Linked DNA regions of Pelodiscus sinensis. The protein of the gene in region 2 purifies or fractionates together with the protein of the main gene of each other region. This does not show direct contact. Links are inferred from orthologs where the notes say so. Each region holds a gene or a part of one and is shown on either strand. Other genes may lie near its edges.

What was found.
Region 1: the proteins of ARHGAP12 (region 2) and TJP2 purify together in Homo sapiens (co-immunoprecipitation; 3 studies listed by BioGRID and IntAct, with this or other methods). This does not show direct contact. The link is inferred for Pelodiscus sinensis from reciprocal best matches to the Homo sapiens genes ARHGAP12 and TJP2.

The regions. Positions count from the first base shown.
Region 1 is NC_134716.1:32,193,420-32,203,202, reverse strand, and holds the start of TJP2 (tight junction protein 2), read right to left. Parts: upstream 3,830-9,783; 5' UTR 3,807-3,829; exon of another isoform or gene 3,598-3,806; intron 3,550-3,597; exon of another isoform or gene 3,393-3,549; intron 3,298-3,392; 5' UTR 3,160-3,297; intron 1-3,159. UniProt on the Homo sapiens protein: Plays a role in tight junctions and adherens junctions. Acts as a positive regulator of RANKL-induced osteoclast differentiation, potentially via mediating downstream transcriptional activity.
Region 2 is NC_134712.1:229,554,925-229,564,293, forward strand, and holds the start of ARHGAP12 (rho GTPase-activating protein 12), read right to left. Parts: upstream 4,240-9,369; 5' UTR 4,019-4,239; intron 1-4,018. UniProt on the Homo sapiens protein: GTPase activator for the Rho-type GTPases by converting them to an inactive GDP-bound state.

The DNA.
Region 1 (9,783 bases), on a different chromosome or scaffold from region 2:
AAAATAAACTTATTTTAGTTCAATAAATCTGAATATTAGCCAATTTCTTATAATTCAGGATGGCTAGCATCCAATTCCTTTTTCTGGTACTGTTAACATTAGCAGCTATGTGATCTTTTAGATCACAAAGAAATATATCTCCTGCTTGTCCTTATGAGACATGAATGGGAAGATTAAGCAATCAAAGATATGGGAGACTCAATTACCGTGATGGCTTATTTTAAAGCTTCAGTGACGAGGCTTTGTAGAGAGCATTTTGTACACTGTATTATGGTCAGTTTTCATCCATACTAGAGTCTCAAAATATATAAAACAAATGCATCATCTAATTTTGCCCTTGAACACACAGTCTATTTAACAGTTCTTAAATGATCAGGGCCGTGCAGTGTCAAACAATCAGAATATGGCCCATTGTGTTGAATATACTGTACAGTGATATCTTGTTATGATGGGAAAAGCACTAGAAGAGCAATGCATGGTTATTATTTTTGTGTCATGCCCAACACTGAATAACCGTGAGCACTAATAAGCAACAAATCAATGCCGATTAGAAATGGCTTTTGAACATTTATTTTTGATCTACAGCTGAATGACTAACATAAGTTACACAGAGCTGTTCTTCAGGTCACTTTGTCTACTCTACCAAGTTATGTAACTACCTTACATCATCCTGTCTCTATAAGCGCCTACACTAAAATGTAGCTCCCACCTACCTGACTCACCCATTCCACTGATAAGGCTTGATCTATACACTACTACAGAGCTTGCTAACTGTCTGGGCTAGGGCACTCCTCCTGCCCCACCCCCCAATCACTCCCAGGCTGATAGCCCCAGCTGAGAGGGTGTTGCAAGGTTAAGTTTCACAACAGGGAGTCTCACAGCAGGAACTATGAATGATAATTAGGAATTATCACCCCTAATATCATTACCTCATAGACACTAACCTCCCCCCCACATCCCCTCTCCGTTCTAAAATCTGATTTGTCAATTTTATTTGTTCACTTTTTTTTTTGACTGTATCACTTTGGTATATATGGTCATGTCAATTTTCTTCCACAAATTGATCTGAGGAAGTGGGTCTGGCCCACGAAAGCTCATCATCTAATAAACCATCTTGTTAGTATTTAAAGTGCTGCATAGTCCTGTCTTTTGTTTCACCGGTGAAACTGACATTCTTGTCATTTTCATAGATGCTATTATTTCACCTTCTGTCTCCAGCTGTTGGTTAGAATGGGTTGTTCTGCTTTAAAAAAAAAAAAAAAAACTGTATTTTTACAGTCATCCCCAGAACTGGGAGAATCCATCTGTGAGCCCCACATGGGGCTGAGAGGACCCTAGCTGTGAGCCAGCACCTGCCTGACAGTTGGGAGGGGGGACAGGTGTGAGTCCCATTTGTGGAAGTGCTGCTGCTAAGAATGTGTGCCACTGACAAAAGGGGCAAGTGTGAACAAGAACCACTACTTGTAATTACTATGTTGGCTGTATGCTGAATTAACTTAAATTACAATTTGTAGTGTAGAGAAGCCCTTAAATACCCCATCTTCATGAGAGGCACAGAACTTAAGTTTATATAATTAGGTCAATGAAGTGTCAATGTAGACACTGTGTAGCTTACATCAACTTTTGCTTTCTTTCAGACACTATCCCACAATGTCCTTACACTGGCAATTATTGTTGGTGCAAACATGCCCAGTGAGAATGTGGACCACCAATGCAAAGAGCTGAGCATGGTTATGTAAAAAAAGCTATTCAGTTACTGCATAACACAGTCAACATAATTTAGGTTGACAATTTTGATGTGTAGCCTTGTCCTGAACTCAAGAGTTTGTCTCTCTCAACAGAAGTTGGTTCCATAAAAGCCACCTTGTCTCTCTAACCCTAAGTGATCATTATTAAAATTAAATTTCATTGTATTAGTGCTGTGCCTTGTACATTCTAGTTAACTTCTATGAGGTCCTTGTCACATCAAACCAGACTTGTGGTGGCTTTGTAGTGGGACAAAACCTTGGGGTTTAGCGGTTTCAAAAGCTATGTTAGCCCTCATTTCCTGTGTCAATTCCTATGCTGTTTACACAATCTCAGATTTTAAATCTTCTCAAACTTCAGCTGTTTAATTTGGACTACTGTTATTAGTAATTGGTACTGTGTAATATCTGGTTTGTGTTTTAAAGTTAGCATATAGTTTAACCTAGTAAGAAAGAGGAGGAGTTAATAGGTCTGACTGAAGAAACAAAACAGCTGTAAAGGTATTTCTGAACCCCTGAATTGCCAAATCTTGTTTTAAAATACTTTGATATCCTGAAATGTCCCCTCATCCAGAAGTATGGCTGGCATTCAGTGAGGACGTGCCAACATAAAGATCTTGGAAATTTTCTGTATTGCAAAGACACTCTGAGTCACTATTCTGGTGTACGTTTTCTCTCCCTCGCTCCCACCCACACTCCAAGAAAGAAAAACTAAAGAAAGCCTGATTCCTCAGTGACAGCTCTTCTACCCACCTACTATCATGGACTCCCTCAAAGTACTTAACGTGGGAATTGAAACAGAGGCCCATAATCCTGTTACAGAAAAGATCATCTGTAAATGAGATTCTGGGTATTCCCGCTCCCTAGAGGAGAGGCTGGTAGTGTGAAGCAGGAACAAGAGTCCCTCCCTCCCTCAGGGGCTGGCAGCCTGCTGAGGCTTGCCTCCGAGCGAACATGAAGCCAAACAACCCGAGAACAATGTGCAGCCAGCCACGCACACCCAATTCAGGCTTCTTTCAGCCAAGGCACGCACAGGCGCAAAAGGGCGAGGAGAAAGCAGGAGAGGGAAGGGGCGGAGGGTGAGCCGCAGCTTGCCGATCCGGAGCAGAGATTTACCCAAAGTTTATTTCCAATACAGAGCCAGCTGGGAAGCCGGGCTGCGGAGCGGAACTTCCCTGATGGCTGGGGAAGGGGGTTTTTGTTCAGCTCCACTGCACGGGGCAATACACCCGAGCCAGGGGACAATTCCTTCCCCGCACCAGCTAAGCTGGAAGAGTCCCCGCCAAGCGCCTGGCCTGCACGTGGCGAAGTGGGGCTCGCCCCCCACCACCCCGCGACATTCCAAATCAGCTGGGCTGGTTCGGAAGCAGCAGTTCCGCAGAGAAGGGGGAGCCGCGAGGCTGCGCCGACATACCTGGAGCGGGGCTGGCAAGGCGTCCGGCGGCAGCAGCCCGCGCCGTGTGGAGCTGAGCGCCCCCCTGGCTGGTGGAGGGAGCAGCCCGGGACGCCTGGGGGACAGGAGATGCGGGGTCTCTTTGAGTCAGGCTATTTCCTGTGGGAGGCAAATGGAGAGGGGGGGACCTGATCAGACCTCCAGCAAGGCAGGTGAGCGGGGTCGGAGCGGGCCGAGCCCTTCGGAGCACCTGCCTCTCCGCTCCCCGGCCCAGCCCTCGCTTGTTCCCCAGCGGGCGGGGAGGGAGGTGGAGCTGGGAGCTGCCATGCACGGAAGCGCTGCCTGAGGTCCTGGTTCCGCGCTAAACTCTGTCCACACGCTGGGGGGCCAGCTGGTTCTACATCCCCCCCGCCCGCGCACACCCACAGCCGCCTGAGCAGCTCCGCTCCGCCGACTTACCCCAGCCTCCTCTCCCATTTACTGGCAGCTTCTCGCCCTCTCCAGCCACCCCCACGACTGGCTCTGGCTGGAGAGGGTGGAACAGGAAATACCGGTTCAAAGCCCTGGTACAATAGGTGCGAGGAGGAAAGCTACTAGACTCGGGGTTTAGTCACTAGGTGGGATCTTCTGAGCCATTACATCAGCCCCTGTTTTGACCTGAAACTCACCCTCTCGCCGACCGCTTTGTCTCGTAAGTGAACAAAAAACTGGTGAGCCCCCCCCCCAAAAAAAATCGACATTAAATTCAAAATCACTATTATATTAATTTAGAAAGGAAAAAAAATCAGGAAAAACAGCCCTCTCTTCCCTAATCTTTGACCGCTTGGCTTAACAACGTAATTTGTTGTTAGGAAATGTCTGAGCGAAGAGACCGTGTGATTCACAGAATAGGGCAAGCCTGGGATTCAAGCTGAGCTGAGAGCTAGTCTAGTCTCTGCTACTGTCTTCCTATGTGACCTTTGGCAGGTCACTTCACCTCTACGTTTCCCCTCCCATTCTATTTAGATTGAAATCTCCTTGGGTTGAGGATTGATCTTAACTGGGACCTCTACAAATCACACTAATCTTGAAAAGCACTGCTGATTTGACAGCTGTGGCCTCTGTTTAGTCACAGAACAAGTATTGAAACAGTCTAGGTAAGACCATTTGACAGCTAACCAGTCTTCTGACAGTGGCCAAATCCAAGTGTTACAGAATGAATGAACAGAAAAGACACTCGTGAAGTGAAATATTACTAGCTTCTGACAAAGAGAGGCTAGGGACACTTAGAGCATGGAGTTGCATCCATGCCCATCCTGGCTAATTGCCATTCAGGGATCTATAATCCTCCAGGAATGTCTAGTTCTTTTTTGACCTGTTATGATTTTTACTTTCACAAAGAGAGTTCCACAAGTTGACTGTGCCTTTATGTGAAGAAGTACTTCCTAGTGTTTGTTTTATACCTGTTGCCTATTAATATCATTGGGTGAGTCCTGGTTCTTGTAACATGAAGGACTAAATAGCACTTCTTTATTCACTTTCTCCTTACCATTCATGATCTGAATAGATCTCTATCCTATTCCCTCTTAGTTTTTTTTCTTTTCCATGCTGAAAAGCCCATCTTTTTAATCTTTCCTCATATGGATGTTGTTCCATACCCCTTTTTGTTGCTCTTCTCTATACCTTTTCCAATTCTGTCTATCTTTTTGAGATGGAGAGACCAGAATTACAAGATGTGGGCATATCATGGATTTATTTAGAGGATTGCATATGGATTGCTCTCTCTCTCTCTCTTTCCTAATTGTTCTTAACATTATTCTGTTTTCCTGGTGGGTTTGAGAAATCTTTGGATTATCTGGTTGGTGATATCACACCTCACAGCTGAAACTTCTGATAGCAACTCAAGTTGCAGGCTAAAAAATGTAATTGAACCCTCCAGTTCTTCCAGACACGATTCTGAAACCTAAACTTCCCTAATCAGCCTATGCTTCGAGATGTACTTCCAGATATTTCAGCTTTCCAGTCTTTGCTGAAGTCATTGATCTGAAAAGAGAGTGCCAAGTCCTGACCGTCTTAATGTGAAAAATGAGGGTTTATTTAAGAAGTAATATTTACACATCATAAAGGAGCAACAAAAATCGCCTTTTGTTGGCTAGTTTGCTTCATAGTATCCCTCTAAGCAAATTTCTCCCAAATCAAACAGTTTACTCCCCACAACAGCTTTATAACAGTGTATTGTAGCTGTTGGACTTTACCCTGTACAGGCTTCTGACAATTTGCAGGGCAGTTGCCAAGTGTGGGCAGGATCATTTTACAGCAGTGGCTCAAGTTTAGAAATTCTCAGAATGCCCAGGAGCATGGGTTCACAGAATTGCTTTTTGATTGACTATGGCATAATATGCCATGCATTGAACAGAAGGAATAAGAGACCATGCTTTTAATTAAATCTTTGACTTGAAAACTAAACACAGCAGAAAGAGCCTGCTTCTATTAAGATATATTCCCCCATTACAATATTTTTAAAGGCCCTGCTTCCAAGTGTTGTTAATCATTAACAGAAATGTAAGTGACATTATTGAACTATCTACTCCCCAAAAGCCCCCAAACAAATAAGGGTTAATATACATAATTGATGTTCAGGGTTAATTAAGTAATTATTTTTCCTTCAGCTACTGCAGGAGATAATCAACTGCAGTTCTAAAGCAAAATGAGACCAGACGTGGAGATTGGAGTCTCTGAATGTCCTTGCTTTTCTGAGTTTGTCTGACCATTTGCATTATTTGTTTCACGTGTTTTTTGGTGTCAATTCCTTTTTCCTTAATAAAAGTAAACTCCATATATAGTCCATATATTGCAGATAGAAAATTATGTTTATCTTCCATAGGAGTCTCATAAGGATTAGCTAATGTTTTTAAGTGTTTTGAAGATGAAGAGCGGTATGCAAGGATACATGTTATTCTTAAAATTGTATATAGAATAAGACAAACATAACAGAAAATATTAATTAGTAGCAGGAACAGTGTAAAAATCAGTGAATTAACATGTACAAAATCATCCATTGTACCATATTGATTTCTTAGTGCTACACAATTACCCAAATACAAATTGATAAAATAATTCAGCAACTTGGAGAGGTTAGCTGCCTTGCTCTGAGGAGCTTGTTGTAAACATTTGTTTTCTTTCTCTAGATATTAGCTGATTCTATCTTCCAGACAAAACCCTGGAAAGGGTGCAAATAAATAAAGTCCTTTCCTGGTCTTACTACGGTTCAAAAAAACCCCTCAATAGCAGCATACAAGTCACTCCTATTCTTTATGAAGCATTCACAGGATAGATCACAACAGCTCCAAACAGCTGTGTGCAGCCAATTTAAAATGTCTTGTCCTCACTTGCAAAGACCACATAGAGCACCTTCCATCTGCAACTGATCTTTTCTTTCATGTCCCCTTTTGCCTCACCCACTTCCAAGTGCCTTTGACTTTTTTCACACAACTTTCTCTGTTCTTCCCATGCTGACTCATATTTTGAATGCTCTTCCAAAAACTGCTTTAACCATCTACATTATTCCCAAGAACTCATTTCTGCAACACACGCCTACAAACTATTTTCAGACCCACAAAACTGAGCTATTAACCCAAACATATGCCTAAACTGAACTAACAATCCAATTTTCTCTCTTTATTCCATGGCATTAGTCTCTCTGCCCTACTCCTGCTTATTAGAGCAAGGTCAAATTTTTCAGCTTAATTATTTTTAAACAATCAGATTTAACAAAAAAATTGTAAATGTATGTAAAATTTGCTTTATTGTTTTGAAAAAGCACACCCCTCCATGTATTGCCTTTTGTCCCATCAAACACAAAGGAAAAAATTCTGAAGCTATTTAAGTTCACCATTTTCTGATTGAAATGTTTAGATTTGGAAAAACTTTGCCTTTTTTTTACTTCAGTGTTCTTTTTAAAAGGTTTAAAAAATCCTTTGAAACTAAATGTTTCGTTCACTCAAAATAAGTAAAAAAATGCAAGGTTATTTCAAATCTAAACATTTCAATCAGAGAACTGTGAACTTAAATAGCTTTTTTTTTTTTTAACAACCAAAACCTGAAATTTTTGATGAGGGTAAACTTAAAATTGATCTTTTAAATGTTTTTGGTTCAGCCAGTAAGTAAAAAACCAAAAGTTATTTGCACAGCCCTACTGTGTGTCTCTTCACTTGTCAGTCTTCTCAGTTATTTAGACTATAAACTCTTCAGGGCAGGATTTTCTCATTTTGTGAAACAACTTGTGGAGCTAAATTGGGACTTTTCTTTACCTTCTATTTTCATCCTTTTTTAATTCAGTGCATTTGTCTGAGAGTATAATGCCACAAGACAAGTGAAGTGAGGAAGCAAAAAGAGGTGCTTTAGCACCTATGCTCTTGTAATGATACTCATCAACTGAGTCAATGTATTGCAGCCTTAGTGCAGAGGGACAAATGAAGGTGCATCAGTCTCTCTGGCACACACTTTTACATTCATGTCAGGGCAGCACACAAAACTCCCAGCTTGGGATCAGGGCCCTCACTGTACAAAACATGTAAGACAACAGAACCTCTGTCCAAAGATCTTCCAATATGATGCATCAAGACACAATTTGCTTTTTGCTTTCTGAATTATGTTGTACCTTGAGATTAAACCCTGGTTCTTATAGCTGTCTACCACTCCCCCAATTTACTGAAAGCCTTTATTTACTAAAATACCTACCCACTGGAGTATAGTCAGCACAGGTGATGGAGAGCCCTGAAAATCGGCAGGCATCTGCATTCGCGGATGTGGAGGCGGATATTGGCAGCTCATTTGGGCAGATGTGGGTGTGGACATGGATATAAGTTTTGTATCTATGCAGGGTTCTAGTGATCAGGCATGTAACAAAAGAAGGAAAACACTGAATTCTAGGCATAGGTAGGATTTTAAAGGAATTCTGAAAAGTGTTCTCCATTAACCTAACTGAGCCAATAGTAAAACTTCCATTGATATCAGAGAGACCAAGTGTTAAGCCAACACTAAGCTCTTGTAAAGAATCCACCTTCCATATCCAAATTTGGAACATAATCAATTAGCTCATATCAATTAAGTGCCATTATGTTATGTAAACACTTTCAATTGAGATAGCCATTTTATTTAGACAGTTTTCTCTATTGCATGTTTGGGTTATTTTGCTTTTTACCTTCTACTTCTTGAGTCTTCTCAATTATTAGCTGTGCCTAGGAAGTGGCCATTAGCAGAACCTGCTCTTAGATTAGCACTAGAATAGGGTTGCTCATATTCTAACATATATATGTAAGATTTTCTACGACTGTAGTCCTGCACTGGAAATCCTCTTTACCCAAGAGTCTTCTGTTGGACCGCTGTAGTTGTAGCATCCGTGTAGAGCGCAGCTGGTCTGTCCAAACTGCTCCTATGTAAGCTTCACAGCCCAAACTCCAGTCTGAGCTGTACCTCATAACAGAGTTTACACAGCTATTTGTACAGTGCCAGAACACGCCCAACTAGCTCAAGTCTCACCCAACTTGAAAAGGCTCCTGTGTGAACATACCACTAATGTCAGATACATGCTGACTAAATCTAGTTTTGTGAAGGGGTGAAATTTAAACAGCTTCATCTCAAATTCCTATTTGCTGTAAATGAGGTGTTCATGCCCCACCTCTTTTAACTGTTCTGGTTTCTCTCTGCTTTGTGTAGTGCTGTGTTTTGCTCTCTCTGACTCATACTGGTAGCCCTAACTGTATTTCCTTGATTTCAGAAGTTATTTAGCAAGAACGTGACTGACTCCCTTTTGCTGAAAAATACACATACATAGCACAGATAATCTAACGCAGAACTGGCTTCCATGAGATGTTAGTTCATATTTTAATTAATAGCAGGCAAGAGTTGGTATCAAGAATTTCATTTTAATTCCAAATAATGGGCAATGCCACCTAAGAATACTGTATATTTATTACATATTGTTCAACGACACATCACAAAAGTAACAGTATTAGCCAAACAGGCAGTCGTGTCATTTTAAACACAAGGAAGTTGTCAGGGGAACTCAGAAGCCAAGAAAACATTGCATTTCAAAATCTGTATCAGGTCTCTTTTAATATAATGCTAAAAGCTTACATACATGTGGCTTGGTCTTGCAAATATGACAGAAAATTTGGGCTCCTTTTTTACATACAATTTTTGAAAAGGAATAACTATTGTTACAATAAAGCAACTTTTATAGTGTCAAAGGTTTGAATGTCACTTATTAAATGATTTCTTTATAAATTATTTGGGGGTGATATCTCGAGTAAATCACCTATTTTTGTCTTTTTTTTACATTTCTCAGCTAGTCCGAAGGCTCCAGTTTCTCAGACCTAAGAAGGCAGGAATAACACAACAGGGTTTCAGTGCATGCCTTGTGTTATCTCTTTGCCTTTGGCCTTGTGCCTCACTTCAACAACATGAGACGTGCATCATGAGCTATGCCAAGCTTGGCTTGGCTTGGCTTATTTCTATTGGAATAGAACACCCTCACTTGACATAAATATATCATTAATATTATTAAGCAATGTATGGTTACTTTATGAAGATACTCATAGCAAAAGGAAATAGAGAAAAGGTAAAAAAAATCCTTTTTTCTACAACTATGAATGTATCATTTTT
Region 2 (9,369 bases):
CACCCCATCATCTGTAAAATAAGAATAAATTTTCACTATGGTAAAATCTGTAGATTTTGATATTTTAATGCAACTGGAGACCTGATTCACAAGATTAAAGTTACTGAAAGGACACAATGAAGTCAGCAAGAAAATTCACCACTCACAAAAGGTCTGAGATGTGCATCTAAATTTGTTTCTTTGGTTAACAAAAGTCTGGGTGACAGAGCATTTAAAAGACTGATAGTGTCCTTATAGCCTGGTAGTGATTAAGTTCCTCCACTCTACAAAACATTTGTGTTGTCTTAAGGATGTACTATGCAAAATACCATTATGTTGCCTGTATGGTAGGAACTGAAGTGGTTAAAACATCTTTAGATTTTTAGCTTTAGAGCTCATGCATAGAATCTTTTAGGTCACCCATTTTCTAGGGGAAATGGAACACTCTCTCAGCACCGAGATGGTGATTATCCATCAAATTCTGTAAGGACACACCCAATATTGGGTAGGTTTTAGGACATGCTGAAAGAAGAAAAAGCCATCTCCTGCCAGCTTCAGGAGCCTCAGTTCCAAAACCTCGTCTCTCATGAACACTTTTCCAGTTTTAATGAATTTGTTCTGACAATTTTCCTGTTGTCTGACACACATCCCTGCCAGAAGAGATTCATCCATAAACAATCTGGGCCCTTGACTAAGCACAAACTTGAATATAACAAACTGCTTATTTAAACCAATTTACTTAGAATTGATATAAATTTGAATTAGATACTTTCAGGTTGGTTTATTTCAGTTTAGCAATTCTGTAAAAAAAAAAAAACCTACACTGAAATAAGACTTTTAAGCTTTGTCTACATGTTCAAGTTTAATGCATTGCCACAGCAGCATGTTAACACAGTAGTGTAGTCACAGCACCATTATAGGTAAATCACCTCCCCGAGGAGAGTAGCTAATGACACTGGGAACACGGCTCCCAGTGTGAGGATAGTTTACATTGGCACTTTACAGCGCAGTAACTTACTGCACTGGGGGGAAAAGGGAGATTCACACCTCTGAGTGAGAAAGTTACAGGGCAGTAACTTGCCAGAGTAGACAAGTCCTCAAACTAAAACAGAAGTGACTACAGATTAGGGGTGTAAAGAGTGTAGCCATTTAAACTTGGCTTAGCTTATTGGTTACCAAAAACAGTTACACGCAGCTCCCTGTCTGGCTCTAATGATGCCGGCTGCTGCCCTGCACTACTGCCTCTGTACTGGATACAGAAGCAGCAGTGCAGGGTGGCAGTCTGATCCTGGATGCCAGAATCCCCATGCATATCAGCTCCCACATGCCTCCTCGCACTGCTGCCTCTGATACAGTGCAAGGCAGCAGCCAGCTTCCCACGGAGAGGGGGTGTGTGCAGGATCCAGTGCACACCAGAGCAGGCTTCTGGCATCACATCAGCTGCCAGGGAGCTGGCAGCCACCTCACATAAAACCATTTTCAGCAGTTACAGTTAGCCAATTACATACATTTTAACATTCCTACTACAGACTAGCATGAGTTTAAACTAATTTTAAGTTACACCTTTAGTTAAAATCTGTGTAACTTTCAGATAAGCCTCAAGTAAGTACTGCAGCTCAGCTATTTCCCCAGATTTCACAGTACTTCCCATCTTCAAATATCAGCACTACTCTGCACAAAGAACAAAGATTTCCCCTGTGACTGCCAGGCTGCTGTCATAGCAATTCACTGCATTTCTAAGCTACAAACTGGACTCCTTTCCAAGGGGTGTTTGAAGAATATCAGAAATGGTTTTACAATTACTTTGACTTTTAAGAATATTTTTAAGAGACTAGTATGACATTTTAAATTTACAAAAAGCTGAAGTTCAAACATTTCACTTCTCAAAAAGGTTAACTGAACCACTAAAAACTAAAAGCAAACAATAGCCACTGTTTATGTGAGCCACACAAAAACAATGGTTTGGTTCTTGTACCACCTCTGCAATACATATTTCATTAAAAGAATCAGTCCCTACAGCTACAGCAAATACTTTAACAGTGTTGCAGCACAAACCAGTCAGTCAGTCATAGAAACTGTATTTGAGAACATTTGTCCTAAATTCTTACCAACAGAATGCCAGATGAAACAAAAAATTTACTCAATTGTCTCCACATAGTAGTTTTTTCCCCCCTTAAGTGTGTCCTTGCAACTTCTCAAAAACATTTGCTACAACAGCATTTCTTGAATATGGTTCCAAGATATACTTATTTGGGGACAAACTTAAACCATTGTGAAATTCTTGTTATTTAACCTTTTATTCAAATTTTTCTGAGACACTTTCTTATTTTTCAAGATCAAAAATAAAAAAGTTAGCTAATCATTCTTTCAAGCTTTTCAGTACATTCAGTGACTAAGGAGAACAACAAAGAAGCCAACAATATATTCCAAATTTATAAGTATTCAAGTTTGGAGTAAAATTTGAAGAAATTTCTACAATATCAAAGAGCTACTTTTTTTTAATGTCATCAGAGAGTACCTCAAGTCCATACTTTCTAGAAGACAATTTCTCTCACATCTGCGCTGTTAGAAATGAATTTCACATACTGAAGTTTCATCAGAACAGTTTTGCTTGACAACAAGCATCAGTTATTTGTGCAGAATTGTAGGTAAAATCATGTCAAGCAAACATATATATATATATAACACAAATAGCACACATGAACATTAGGGACTTTCAGGACCATTAATAAAAGGTTTAAACCTTTACCCCTTCCTCCAACATAACCATCATCAGTATTAAGAGACAAATGCAGTTTCCAAGCAGAATGAGCCCGTCTGCCCTAAATGTTTATATTTGCTTAAAAATTAAAAGCATAAGTAAAATATAATTTCCTGATAACTGTCTATTGGCTCATCTTAGAGACTTCTGAATACATGATATATTTTAAATCATTGTCAAAGCAACTTTTAAAAGCCACTTTTCACCAACTGTATATGTTAAAGCAGGCAGCCCCTTGCCTTTCACTATGCACTATTGTTATATTGTTGATTAGAATGACCAGCAATAAATAGCTGAGCAAATCTGTGTCTGTACACAGTGATTAAATTATACAAACAATCATTCTAAGCATTTTAGGGTGTGTTAGAGTCCACATTCAAAATGGACATCTGAGAAATACAGTAATGGCTACCATCTCAACTAGCACTGAAGCAGTTTTGATCTGAACCTTAGGATTCATTTTAACAGGTAAAACAAAATTACAGGACATATTCATAGCTCCGTTAACTAATTTGTGAGCAGGCACATCTGCAGTATATACATACACAAAGGTTTTGAAAAACAAACCGAACATGCAGTCTGTGCAATGACCAACCAACAACAACAACAAAAAAGTCACCCACCCCACTTCATATTTCCAACACAAGAGAGAAAGTCGTTCTCAGTCAACTTTATACCCAGGGCTATGCAGCCTGCTTATCAGGACAGGCATTGGTACTGGAAGCACGGGTGGGCGGCAGGGGCTCCAGCCCCCCGACTTGAAGGGGTTTCCATTATACAGATTTACAGTTTGGTTCAATGGCTCGCAGCACCCCCAACTATAAAACCTGCTCCAGCGCCCCTGAGCACAGAGAAGGCAGGGGTAGCAGTGCCACTGTCGCCCCCATCCCAGCCAACCCCAGGAGTTATGGTGAGTACGAACAGGCCAGCGGGGGTGAAGCAGCCCCTGGATACAGAGCAGGACGAGCACAAGCCTCCTCGCTTCCGGGCACAAGCCAGCCCCTGCCAGGGGCCAGGAAGAAACTTCCCCTAGGACTCCCGCCCTCGGCGGGGGGGAGGAGGGCAAAAGGGACTCAGGCTCCTTCCAGGAAGGGACTCGGGGCACCAGCCAAGACCCCCTCCCGGCCCAGCCAGCTTGGGGGCGACCCTGGCGGCGGCGGCGGCAGAAGCAGCAGCCTCCCGCGAGCCAACAGGGTCACCCGCCGAGACCCCGCCCCCTTCACTGCCCGCCCCCCCGGCCGGCGCCAGGCCTTGGGCCCCTGCTTACAGCCACCTTACCCGGGTAGCCGCCGGGTCCGCTCCCGCCTCAGCGCGGCCACAGCCGCCGCCACCGCCAACCACTGCCGCCGTCTCCGCCTCGCGCTCGCGCAATGTCAGCGCTCCCTCGTCACGTGCCGGGGGAGGGACGGGGGAAAGCGCGGTGACGGGCCAGGGAGGAGGCACCTGGGGGGGAGGGGGCTACGGGGAGAGGGAGAAGCTGTGTGGGGAAGGGAGATGGGGGGAGGAGCAGAGCTGAGGCAGCTGCGGGTGGGGGGGAGAGGAGGGAGCACGTCACAGAGGAGCTCTGTGGGAAGGGAGGCCGGAGAGAAGCAGCGTGGGAAGGGGAGATGGGTCTATTTTTATCATATGCTACATAGACGTGAGGGGTTATTTTTTCCATACACAACGTCATGTGGCTATAACAACTTTAGTCACTTCACCCCCATGTGTTTTAAGAATTTGTCAATTTAATCACTAAGCTTTGTGAGCTTGATTACTAAGACTTACTCTCTTATTTATTCTGATACGCATTGTTAAGCATCTTATTTTAGATTTTTTTTCCTCTGTTTCACTGCTAATTTTAACTTTAATGAGAACTGCCACAGGCTACAGAACTCACAAACATCACAATGTAGGTTAAATCCTTATTACTCATAAAAATCTACAGAAGTCAAAGAATTTTAAATTAACCCGACTTAAATAATAATATTATTTGTATGAGCACCCAGAAATGTGCTGGATGTTTCACAAAAGCCTGTGAAGAGCTTGAAGTCTAACTTAGAAAATGATGCAACAGATGTGAGTAAAAAAATCTAATAAAGGGAGAGCAGAAGAGGCATAACTGGAATAATTATAATAAGAAAGTATACAAAGAAAGGACTTGATTCCATTTATGTTGTTCTTTTTATTGTTAATTCCTCTCCCTTAACTTCTGGCAAGGCTGCAAAAGTTCATGGGAAGAATTTGAATTGTGTTGTAAATTTTGGACATAGAAGTTGCCATAGGAGAATAAATATTTGCAAATCTAGCTTAGCTTTCTAAATATATTTATAAAATCTTTTTTACTCTTTAGGAATTTAAGCCCTCACTGAAGTCTACTTCTCTGATCCTTTGTGTTGCTGAACAGTTTTCTTTGTTCTCTTCTCTATTATAGCCATGTATGTTGTCCAGACTTTGCAACTCTGAAAGCAAATGAAATTCATACTCTATCTTTACTGGTTAAACAAATGAATTTAAATTTTACTTAAACACAATTTGAATTTGATTATAGTAGTGATAAGCAACTTAGGCTAGTGAGTGAGCCTCCTTCACTTCAGTGGACTGCAAGATTGTCATAACCAATACAGTCTCCGGGGATAGGATAATTTTGCTAACTGCACTTGAATTTTGCTGGGTGTGCTAGTTGAACTATAGCAGCACTTTGGTTGGATGCCAAGAGAGTGAATGGCTCTCTCAGTAAATGTTGTGTGCGGTCAGCATACACCTTGCTTCACATGCCTTTTATGAGTGTGTCACTTTAGTAATACCAGTAGGGGAAAAAAAACTACACAGACAGAAGCCAGTGGAATTGGACAACCCTGTGTGTGGACAACGGTAAACAAAATGTCTTGTGGGCCATGCATAGAATCAACATGGGCTACGTTCAGCTTCTGGTCTGCAGGTTGTCCACCACTGGATTATAGCTAAATGGGATTCTAACACAACTGGATTCCTGGCTCAGCATGTACTCAGTGAGGCTATATCTAGATGGCAAGCTTCTTTCGGAAAAAGTTTTTCCGGAAGAGATCTTCTGAAAAAACTTCTTCTGAAAGAGAGCATCTGCACTGCCAAAGCTCATCGAAAAAGTGATCTTTTTCGAAAGATAGTGTCCATTCAGTCTGGATGCTATCTCGCATGTAAGCTGTGATTACTATGGGTGGAATGGCCACCAGGGCATCTGTGTTTTTTCCTCTTTCCTCTTCTTGCAAAAGAACTCCCTCTTCCCCGTCCACACATACCTTTATCCAAAAGAGCTCTTTCGGAAAAAGGCTTCTTCCTCATAGAAAGAGGTTTACCAATGTTGGAGAAAACTCTGTTCTTTTGATTTTCTTTCAAAAGAACGCAATTGCAATGTGGATGTAATTGAAGTTTTTTTTTTAAAAAACGGCTGTTTTTCTGAAAAATAACTCCATAGTGTAGACATACCATGAGTCTGGGCATAAGCATGATTTGACTTATGTGTGTGTTGCGGGGGGGCATGAGGGGGAGAAGACAGGCAGCTCTAATCAGACCACCAGGGCCATGTAGGAAGGGACAAATTCTGCTTTTTGCCAAGGTTTGCTATTTGGGCAGGCAACGACCCCTCTGACCTTTCCAAACTATACAATCATGCAGGTTTGTACTGGGGTGGCTAGCCCAAGCAACTGCCAACACCACTATAGCCACACTGCTGTATTTACTGTCCTAACTAGAACAGAGCTAGGGCTTATGGAATACGCTCATTGCTGCTGCATAGATATTCCCCCAGTGTGCATGGGGCCAAAAATATGTTAGAACAATGTACTAGTCTAGATAGCACCATCTAGACCAGTGTTTCTGAAAGTGTTCCATGGAATCATTTTGAGAAACATTAACTGGCCACCCCGATTTGTTTATTTACTGGCACCGCAGCCACGGAGCCTCACGGCTCCCATGGGCTCTGTTTCGCTCTTTGCAGCCAAGCAGAGCAGTGGGAAGATGTGGCCCGACCCACGCTGCTTCCCACAGCTCCTCTTCGCTACAAAGGACGAAATGACGCCAATGGGAGCCATGAGGCTCCATGGCTGCGGTGCTGGTGAATAACAAATGGGGGTGGCCAGTTAATGTGTTTCACAAAGTGATTCCACAGAACACTTTCAGAAACAATGACCTACACCATCCCTGATAGATGTCTGTCTAACCTGCTCTTCGATATCTCCAGAGATGGAGATTCCACAACCTCTCTAGCGTAGCGCAGAGTGTTGCTCACAACACTCCTGTTAAAGCATTCCATAATCATTTTTTCTTTTGGGGGGGGGGACAGTATCACACTGTTGACTCATTTAGCTTGTGGTCCACTATGACCTCTAGATGCCTTTCTACAGTACTCCTTCCTGGACAGTCGCTTCCCATTTTGTATATGAGAAACTGATTGTTCCTTCCTAAGTGAAGTACTTTGCATTTGTCCTTCTTAAACTTTATCCTATTTACCTCAGACTATTTCTCCAGTTTGTCCAGATCATTTTGAATTATGACCCTATCCTCCAAAGTAGTTGCAACACCTCCCTGCTTGGTATCATCTGCAAACTTAATAAGCATACTCTCTATGCCAATCAGTCCCAAAACAGACCCCTGCGGAACCCCACTTGTTATTAATGGTTCACAAACATGCTGGAAGGGCATAACTACTCTCTGAGAACAGTTATCCAGACAGTTATGCATCCACCTTATAGTAGCCCCATCTAAGTTGTATTTGTCTAATTTATTGATTAGAAGATCATGCAAGACAGTATCAAATGCCTTACCACATCCACCGCTTCTCCCTTATCCACAACACTTGTTATCTTATCAAAGAAAACTATCAGATTGGTTTGACATGATTTGTTCTTTACAAATCCATGCTGCCTGTTACCTAGCAACTTATTTTCTTCCAAAAGATGTTTGCAGATGATTTTCTTAATTACTTGCTCCATTATCTTTCCTGGCACAGAAGTTAAACTGACTGGTCTGTAGTTTCCTGGGGAGTTCTTATTTCCCCTTTTATAGATGGGCACTATATTTGCCATTTTCCAATCTTGTGGAATCTCTCCCATCTTCCATGATTTTTCAAAGATGATAGCTAAAGGCTCAGCTACCTCCTCTATCAGCTCCTTGAGTATTCTAGTATGCATTTCATCAGACTTTGGTGACTTGCAGACTAACTTTTCTAAGTAATATTTAACATGTTCTTTTTTTATTTTATCTTCTAAACCTACCCCCTTCCTGCTAGCATTCACTATATTAGGTATTTCTTCATCATCAGACTTCTTGGTGAAGACCGAAACAAAGAAGTCATTAAACAAAGAACTCATCTCTGCCATTTCCAAGTTTCCTGTAATTGTTTCTCCCTCTTCACTGAGCAATGGGCCTACTCTGTCCTTGGTCTTCCTCTTGCTGCTAATATATTTATAGAATGTCTTCTTGTTACCCTTCGTGTTTCTAGCTAGTTTGAGCTCATTTTGTGCCTTTGCCTTTCTAATCTTCCCCTGCATACTCATCCTTTGTAATTTGTCCTCGTTTTCACTTTTAATACGACTTCTTTTTGATTCAGAGATCATGCCAGATCCCCTGATTAAGCTAAGGTGGTCTTTTGTCATACTTTCTACTTTTCCTACACAGCAGAATAGCTTGCTTTTGGGCCCTTAATAACGTCCCTTTGAAAAAGTGCAAACTCTCCTCAGTTCTTTTTCCTCTTAGTCTTGCTTCCCATGGGACCTTACCTACCAGCTCTCTGACTTTACCAAAATCTGCCTTCCTGAAATCCATTGTCTCTATTTTGCTGTTCTCTCTTTTACCATTCCTTAGAATCACAAACTCTATGATTTCATGATCACTTTCACCCAAACTGTCTTCCACTTTCAAATTCTCAACCAGGTCCTCCTTATTTGTTACAATCAAATCTAGATCAACTTCCCCCTCAGTAGCTTTTTCAACCTTCTGAAATAAAAAATTGTCTACAATGCAGTCCAAGAACTTATTGGTTACTCTGTGCCCTGATGTGTTAGTTTCCCAACGTATGTCTGGATAATTGAAGTCCCCCATTACCACTAAACACTGCGTTTTGGATGATTTTGTTAGTTGTTTAGAAAAAGCCTCATTCACCTCTTCTACCTGGGTAGGTGGTCTGTAGTAGACCCCCTAGCATGACATCACCCTTCAAACATTTCACTCCTCAATAAGATTAACTGAACCACTAAAAACTAAAACCAAACAATAGCCACTGTTTATGGGAACCGCACAAAAACAATGGTTTGGTTCTTGTACCACCTCTGCAATACATATTTCATTAAAATAATTAGTTCCTACAGCTGCAATGAATATTTTAATATTGTTGCAGCACAAACAAGTCAGTCATAGAAACTAGATTTGAGAACATTTATCCTAAATTCTTACCAACAGAAGGGCAGATGAAACATAAAATTTACTCAATTGTCTCCACATAATTTTCCCCCCTTAAGAGTGTCCTTGCAGTGCCTCAAAAACATTTGCTACAATATTTGAGAGAGTTTGCCTCTCTGAGTGAGAGAGTCTGTCTGTCTGTCTGTCTGTTTGTTCAATAACTCCTCCTAAACAGTAAGAGCTAGGACCACCAGATTTGGTATGCAGCTTCTTCT